2 linked regions of the Coturnix japonica genome follow. The protein of the gene in region 1 purifies or fractionates together with the protein of each later gene. This does not show direct contact. Links are inferred from orthologs where the notes say so. Each region holds a gene or a part of one and is shown on either strand. Other genes may lie near its edges.

Evidence for each region. Proteins that work in one complex are often made in the same cells at the same time.
Region 2: the proteins of solute carrier family 22 member 5-like (region 1) and YIPF3 purify together in Homo sapiens (co-immunoprecipitation; 3 studies listed by BioGRID and IntAct, counting the BioPlex papers as one, with this or other methods). This does not show direct contact. The link is inferred for Coturnix japonica from reciprocal best matches to the Homo sapiens genes SLC22A5 and YIPF3.

Annotation. Positions count from the first base shown.
Region 1 is NC_029528.1:1,336,027-1,340,320, forward strand, and holds the start of solute carrier family 22 member 5-like, read right to left. Parts: upstream 2,801-4,294; 5' UTR 2,606-2,800; coding exon 2,213-2,605; intron 1-2,212. UniProt on the Homo sapiens protein: Sodium-ion dependent, high affinity carnitine transporter. Involved in the active cellular uptake of carnitine. Transports one sodium ion with one molecule of carnitine.
Region 2 is NC_029518.1:27,800,330-27,804,422, reverse strand, and holds the start of YIPF3 (protein YIPF3), read right to left. Parts: upstream 2,801-4,093; 5' UTR 2,753-2,800; coding exon 2,690-2,752; intron 2,620-2,689; coding exon 2,413-2,619; intron 2,339-2,412; coding exon 2,232-2,338; intron 2,151-2,231; coding exon 2,105-2,150; intron 1,516-2,104; coding exon 1,423-1,515; intron 1,082-1,422; coding exon 950-1,081; intron 446-949; coding exon 332-445; intron 1-331. Other genes in the region: POLR1C (DNA-directed RNA polymerases I and III subunit RPAC1), read left to right, coding at 2,883-2,951, 3,025-3,096, 3,193-3,300, 3,392-3,524, 4,085-4,093. UniProt on the Homo sapiens protein: Involved in the maintenance of the Golgi structure. May play a role in hematopoiesis.

The sequences.
Region 1 (4,294 bases):
ATGGGAGTACATAAGAATTCTCACAAACTGTTTTCATCATCAAATGTATACTAATGATGTGATTCCTCTATGCTATTAATGCCCTAAGTCACTGCTCAGTTCGATCCCACAGCAGATACCAGGCATTCACACACAGGACTGGGAGAGGAAGTTGGACTTTCCCCTGAATTACCCTATATGATATTACACACAAACTCTTCTGATTACATTCTCTTTTGTTTTTTAATGGGACTCAGGGAGGAACGGTTACTTTGACTAAAGCAATGCTTTCCTTATGCCTCGTGATACAGCCTATCCAAAAGCAAAGGAGGAAAAAGGGATTTTGCTCCGGAGGAACAGGTTAAATAGGGCAGACCGGCTACCGTTGTGCTGTATGTCTGCTGGGAAAAAGGGAAGCCTATCGTCACATGAGACAGAGCTGAATGTGTTACGTCTCCCGTGCAGAGCAGAAACAGAGCGGAGGGTTTTCCCTGGAGTCAGGAGAGATTTGTAGAAAAACCTTTCTTAAAAAATGCCCCATCCCCCTCCCCGTGTCAGCTCCTGAAATGTGGGACAAAGGTCCTCATGATTATTCAACGAGTTGGAGATATGCAACCAAACACAGCATTAGTCAACCATGAAAACAGCAACACCAAGCCAGCAAATTAAACACGTTGAACAGAGAAAACCTGCAAGTGTGTGAAAGGCCACAGCTCTTGCAAAACTGGCTCCAAGGCGTTAATATTAAAGGGAGAATAAAATACTGCCTTGGTGCATGAAGTCTGGGCAACCACACGCTGCCTCCCCCAGACACAAAACTCCTGCCTAACTGTGCAGAGCTGCTGCAGTCGTAGCTGAACATCAGCAGCTCCTTCTCCTTAGGGATCTCACAGCTTCTGGAAGATGCGCTGACAGTTCAGACACTGTAACTTGCACTGAGTCAAAGCTGGGAGAAAAATGTGCCGACAAACCACGCTTCAACCAGGACAGCCACTGTAGTACTGGGGCACTCAAGACAAAACCAGCACATTCACCTGCAAAATGCTGTATTACAGAGGATGCCAACCACCTTAAGCTGTCCTGAGAGCACATCGGCCCTTCATAGCCATACATTGCACTGATGACCAGGTACTAGTTTTACTCTTTGTGAAGAAAGCAGTTCTTTAAGAAACAGGTGAGGCAACACCTTGTGGCAGCTACCCAAGCCCTAAGGTCTGTGCATGTTCAAAGGAAGCTTTCACAATTCACATTTTGCCATGCCCATGCTCCCCTGTGCTAACAGGGCATCTCTCCCACGGTCTCTTCTTCACTTCGTTCCTTCACCAGAGATGGATTTCAGTGCTCAGAGCTGTGAGCAGGCACAAACATCCATCTCTGTTTGGCAGAGCAAAGAACAAAGGCCACTGGGCAGAAAACATTGCTACAGTTCTGCAAAGGTTGCTCACATGTACAGACAGGAAATTGAATGGTACAAATGGTTAACAAGCCTTCTGAAAAGTCCTATCTGCAGTTTGGAACCCAAATAGTTCTTTGTGTCTTAAGGCAACCAGTGCCTGTGGGTCTGTGCAGCTTGCACCTGACACAAGGACAAGCAGCACAGCCTCAGCCTCACTGGCTGCTTGGGTCTGAAGCTCTGCTGGCAGGACACAGCTGAGCTGAACAGGGACAGCAGGTGTCAGGCTGATAGGCAGCAAATTCTGGGTCCTGTGTGGCACAGCACAGAACAGGACTCCCCTGCTGCATCCAACTGCCGCACCTGCAGGATGACTTCTGCCTCCTTTATAAAGAAAATAAACCAACCCCTTTTGATGTGTGAGTTCAAAGAGACATCCTTGAACCACCAACAATAAAGCCAACTGAGCCCGTTGTTCCCGGGCCGATCCTTGTTCCCCAAGGTCCTCCAGCAGATACCTGCTGAATTGCAGGCATTGTATACAGGCCACACGAGCTGAGACACTGCAGTTTGAGACCGCTTTTACGAGTGGAGTTAAACAGAAGAGATTAGCTTAGATCTCAAACTAAATGCAGCATGCCAGATATAAAGCAGGAGCACTCAGGGCCACCGAGAGTGGCCCGGGACAGCAGTGCTGAGATCCACACACACTCCCTTGGCAGCACAGCGCGGACGGCGTGTCCTGCCGGCAGCTCCTGGCTGACACACGGGCTCTGCAGGTGGAACCCACCAAACGAGCCTGACCGCGGGCTCAGCTTGAAGCCCCGCTGCTCCCCTCACCTCGGTGACGATGGTGGAGTGGTACACATCGCGGCTGTACTCCCAGCCGTCCAGGCACGGCTCCTGCTCCAGCTCCGCCAGCTGCACGTCGGAGCCGGGCCGCAGCCCCAGCGCCGACAGGTTGGCGAGCACGGCCAGGCGGTAGCGGCGGCAGCGGCTCGGCCCCGTCAGTCCGCCGCGCAGCTCCAGCGGGATGCTGGCGTTCCGCCACTCCTCGCTCAGGTTGGCTCCGGGGGGCACAGCGCAGCGGTGCTCGGGGGTACCGGCCAGGAAGACGATGGACAGCCCGTTGAAGCCGTTGGGGATGATGCTGGCGCTGAGCAGGAAGAAGACGAGGCGCTGGAAGCGGCCCCACTCGCCCAGGAAGGCGGTCACCTCCTCGTAGTCCCGCATGGCGCAGCCCAACGGCGCCCGCCGCTACCGACGGGCAGGAAACGGCCGGCCCCGAGCCGCCCAGCCGCCGGCCGAGCTCTTTGCCATGGGCCGGGCCTCGCCGGCGGGGGAGCGGCCGGGGGTGTGGTCAGCGGGCTCAGGGCTCTCAGGTGGGGCCGGGCGCTGCGGCCCGGCCCGGCCCGGATCAACCCGGCCGGCAGCTCCCGGCGTGCACTGCGGGCGGCACGGGGGCGCGGCGGAGGCTCGGCGGGGAGTAGGGCGGGATGGGCCGGGATGAACGAGAACGGGGGTCTGAGCCGAATGTGGGCTGATGTGTGCCTGTTTCCAGTCACTACATAGGGAGCTACAGCTACTGAGCAGCACAGTCTGCTTTCCCCTGCTGCCTTTACCCCGATGTGCCGCTCAGTCCCCACTCCCAAGGGAACACAGGGTGGAAATATGCTGGTCTATAAAGGCAGGGAGATCCCACTGGTGACCATCATGGGACAGAGGCGGTGTAGGAGGATGATTACTGCTATCTAAGGAGGACTAAAAGCAAAATATGAACACCTCTTGGAGCTGCGGGGATTCAGAGCAGCAGTGATAGGAAGCTGCATCAAGGTTGCAGTGATCAGAGCCCAGTGCATGGTGCAAGGCCAAATCGTTGTGGTCAATGCCTGGTGAGGCTGAAATGCTGCTATGGTCAAGTCCAGGTTGCTCACAGGGAGTTAAGTTCATTTTTAATTGCTTCTTTAAACATTTTTACACAATTTGTTAAATTTAGGAGACTTTATTCTTCAACTACAAACCACACAGACAGTAGGTTACACAATGCTAGTGCACATTTTATTCCATTAAAGACAGGAGTTACCAGGTGACGACAACTATGTATTTATACCTGCTTTAAGGTATCTGATAAGCCAGTGTCAGATCTTACCGATGATAAGAGGTTACACAAAGAGACCCAGGTAAATGTGATAGAGGAGAGTTGAGGCTGAGTGCTATCAGTGGGAGCCAGCCAGTTGTGCTTCCCCATCTTCGGGTCAGAGCTGTATGTGCACCTCCCAGCTCGGGTGAGCACACAGGTCCCACAGTGAGCCCCACCGAGCATCTGACACACAAAACTCACTGAAGATCGCAGTGAAAGCCTTAGGTTTCTCATCAGAAATACACTTACTTTCTGCCAATGGCTACTAAGCCAATTCTGTTTTCTTCAGCTTTACAACTAAACATTTAGTAACTTGCCAGAATCTGGCACTCCTGCCCTCCAGATTCATCCCCATCTGATTCTTCAGCAGGTTGTTTCTCTTTGAGTTCCTTCAGAAATGCCTGTTCTGGCCTGGGAAGGATACAGTCAGAGGACAGAAATACTCCTTGCAAGTGCTTCATCAGCTGAAGCAATCTCATTTTCTCATTCTGACTGTGCTCAGACACACTCAGTCCATGTAAGAACATCACATTCTTGGCAACAATGCATTCCACTCTTGCACTGTTTCTTTAATTTGCTATTAAAAACACTTAAATATGACACCAGCTTTTGATCAATGGTAAAAGCAAGAAAAACGAGACCAATTAAAACAAGGTATTTAAAAAACCCACAATCCTCTTCCTTATTTAAAAATAATAATAATAAAATGGAATCTAGTTTTAAGATACTACAAAGTTCAAGAATATAAAAATATTTACCTTTCAGAAAGGTTTACCTTTCAG
Region 2 (4,093 bases), on another chromosome or scaffold:
CTAAGCAGAGAGCCAGTGGGAACACTGCTCAGAGCCTTCCTCACAGTTGGCACTAGGAAATCTGACTGTTTTGGGTAGATGAATCTTGCCCAGTTTCACTCAGTGTTAAGGGGGCTCAGCAAGTATCTCTGGAGCAGCGGGGGACATAAGACAGCAGGCTTCCTGCAGCTGTTAGAATGGGTGAGGACAGTAAGCCAGGCCACACACTAATAGCCAAATGGCCCAGAAGCATCAGGCTTTCTTTAAGCACCCTACCCAGCTGTGGAATCACTTGACTGGCCCAAGGAACAGAAAGCAAGAAACACTTCCCTCTGGGCTGCCAGTCACTTACCATTCGCAGTGTAGAGAGTCCACCAACGACTAACCAGAAAACATAGAAGAGGGAATGGAAGTGGATATTATAGGTGACAAGCAGAGTGATGCAGTGTCCAAAAAGGCCATAGCCCTGGCAAAACAAACACATCCATGTTACAGTTGTCACTTGCACACAAAAGGTTGTTGAGCAACAAACAGCCAATGCTTGCAATGTTTCAGCAAGGCACTACTTTGCAGACTGCACACTCCGTGCTAGAATGTCAACCAGCACAACAGATTTAACAGGAGCTCACACCCAGCTCATCTGTCAGAAGGATTCACAGGACTGTTGGAGATTGCATCAATCTAGGAAATGCAAGGAAAAAAGCCTCTGATCCCAGAAAAATGAGAATCTCCCCAAGAGGAAACTTGCAAGCACTAACAGCTGCTCTGTGCCATCTCTGTGTCTGGGACAGATCAGGTCCAAAGATCATCCCGGATTCCAAGTTGTCCCTGTGCAACAAGGTTATGGTCATCTGGGACCACTCATTTACAAAGATGTTTCCAGCTCTCTGGGAAGAGCTCACAGGTTACCCTCCCCTCTGGAACACCACGCAGCCAGCATCCATCCTGGGGCAGCCCCATCCGTACATACCAACAGCGACAGCATCTGCACCATCGTGATTTGGGCATTGCACAGATATGCCAGGAAATAGATGAAAGAGGAGACTCCCAACCAGTAACCAAAGCAGGTGCCAATGGCTGTGCCCATCAGTGTGCCTTCCCTCTGTGGAGACAGCAGCAGGACAGAGAGAACTCAGAGCAAGGGCCTGCCAGCACCTGAGTTTCACTGCAGAGCACCCAGAGCCTTTCATACATGTATACAAACAGCTGGCTTAACAGCAGGCAGGTTGCCCCACGACCTACACCCCATCTCTCCCAGCTACAGAGCATTGGGACTTTCTGATGCAACTTTCCTCCCCTCTCCAAAACCAAAAGGATCTTCCTCAGATCAAATCTGCTTTTCAGCTCTTGTGATACAGAAGAGGTTTCCTCTCCCTTTCCAGTGTCATTATAGCAATCCCAAACCCGGTCAAAGCACAAATGAATCACTGAGACTCGCCATACAATGATAGTGTCCGAGGTCTTCATCCCATGCAACAGGATGGCCACCAGCGTGAAGACCAGCATGAGGGGTCCGTAAAGCTCACCTGCAATCTTCTACATGTAAAGAGAGAGATGAGGCTTAGTTAGTGCTCCTGTCTTCCAGGCTCTCCACCCTGAGAGACATAACGAGCATCTTGGAGACTTTTATCACCCGAGGAGCATCTGCAAGGCCACTGCTGACAGAAGCCACACAGAACAGACTGTGATGAGTCAGAGTGGTGTTCAACAGGATGCAGAAATGGGCAAAGTGAGGTCTAGAGTTCTACAACTGTACCAGCGTTAAGGGTAGCAGGAAGGTAAAGGCAGCGCTGGCACAGGCTGTGCAGGGCAGCGGTCACAGCAGTGAGCTGGCTGGAGTTGAAGAAGCATCCGGACAATGATCTCAGCTATATGGTCTGATTTATGGGTGGTGCTGTATGGAGCCAGGTGAGCCTTATGAGTCCCTTCCAACTCAGGATGTTCTATGATTACAATTCTATGAGAATGGGGTTTGGAACAACCATAGGAAAGGGTTTACTGATACTTTGAGGGAGGTGAACATCTAACAGACTTGGATCCTTAATAACAGGCTAATTACATCTGAGGGGTCTCTGTGGAACAGTCACTCAGGCTGTGGGGTCTGGTTCAGTGAGAGAGAACTCACCTGTGGGAAACTGATCATCTTGACGGGCACCATGGACTCCAGCAACCTGCATTACGGCACAGCGGGGAACGACATCAGGACAGTCATTAAGAAGCAACAGATCCCGTGCACCCGCTGCCCTGCCCACCTGGTGCGCACTTGGACGGGCTCCACGTCGAAGTATGGCCGCAGGATGTCGATGTTGGCGTAGAGGCTGAACGCTTTGGACGCCTGTCGCTTCCCCACCTGCCACATCTGCGGACAGAACGGTACGTGCAGCGGCGGGGCCGGGGCCGGCGGGGCTGTTGGCGGCTCGTGAGCCCACTCACCTGGTCGGCCACCTGCCGGCCCAGCTGCCCCTGCAGCCCCTTCATGCCCAGGAACTCGCCGTCCTCTTCCCCGCCGGCCCCCGCCTCGCCCTCCGCCTCCTCGTCCTCCTCCTCCTTCATGCGCTGGTGCATCTCCCCCATGTCCTCGAAGCTGGAGCCCGACGTGTCGTCCATGTTCTCCATGTCGATGACGGCCGAGCCGCCGCCCTGCTCCGATGCACGGATCGTCAGCGCCCGCTCGGGCCCCTCTGTCCCCCCCCCCGCGGGCCGGCCCCACCTGCACGTTGTCCTCAAAGCCGCCCCACTCGGCGGTGCCGCTCCTGCCGCCCGCCGCGGCCATAGCGCCGGTAACGGGGGACGGCAACGCGGATGTGACGGTCCGGCCGCTCCGTGTCTCGCGAGAGCCGTCAGTTCCGCATGGCCGCCTTACGTGCGGCGGGGCGGGGCGGCGGCGCGTCCTTCCGTCGGCGATGGCGGCCCGGCGCGGCACGGACGAGATGCGGGAGCGCGTGGTGCTGGGCGAGTTCGGCGTCCGCAACGTGCGTGGGGCGGCGGGACGCGGGGCGGCTCCCGCATCACCCCCCGCTGCCTCACGGGCTGCGCCCCCCGCAGGTCCACACCACTGACTTCCCAGGCAACTACCCCGGGTACGACGACGCGTGGGACCAGCGGCGCTTCGAGGAGGTGAGTGGGAGCTGATGGAGATGATGGAGCTGATGGAGCTGCTGCTGCGGGGCCCCTTGTTCGGCTCCGTCGTGACGCGGCGCGGTTCCCGAGCAGGGGTTCCGCGTGGACGTGGTGCGGGAGGAGGACGGCGTGCTCGAGTTCGACATGGTGGGCATCGACGCGGCCATCGCCAACGCGTTCCGCCGCATCCTGCTCGCTGAGGTACCGCGGGGCTGGGAGACATGACGAGTGGATGGTCCCCGTGCGGTGCCCTGCTTGGCGGCTTATCGCCTCGCTCTGTCGTCCCCCCGAGGTGCCGACCATGGCTGTGGAAAAGGTGTTTGTGTACAACAACACGTCCATCGTGCAGGACGAGATCCTGGCGCACCGACTGGGCCTTATCCCCATCCGGGCCGACCCGCGGCTCTTTGAGTACAGGAATCAAGGTGAGGGGCTCGGGTCGAACAGCGGTGGGGAGGGTGGAGCCCATAACCAGGAGCTGGGGTCACACCGTAGGATCATGAAGGCCATCAGGTCCAACGATCCCACAACATACAGGGACTCCTACATCTGACCAGGTGCTCAGAGTCCTGCCCAGCCTGGCCTTGTAAGTCTGCAAGGACAGGGCATCAGCCGCATCTCTGGGCAGCCTGTTCCAGTGCCTCACCACCCTCATTTTCACCACTCTCACTCAGTAATAGACTTTTTCTTTATCTCTAAAGTAAATCTACCCTCTTTAAGCCTCAAACCGTTTCCCCTTCTCCTATCACAGCAGACCCTGCTGTAGAGTCTGTCCCTTTCTTTCTTGCATGCTCTTCCTAGGTGCAGAAAGGCCGCTTCCAGGTCTCCCTGCAGCTTTCTCTTCTCTAGGCTGAGCAGCCCCAGCTCTCAACCCATCCTCGTAGGAGAGATGTTCCATCACTGGGTCATTCATGTGTCCCTCCCCTGGATACACTTCAACAAAGCAGAATTCACTTCCATAAAGATACTGTTTTGCCATTTCCAGGAGATGAAG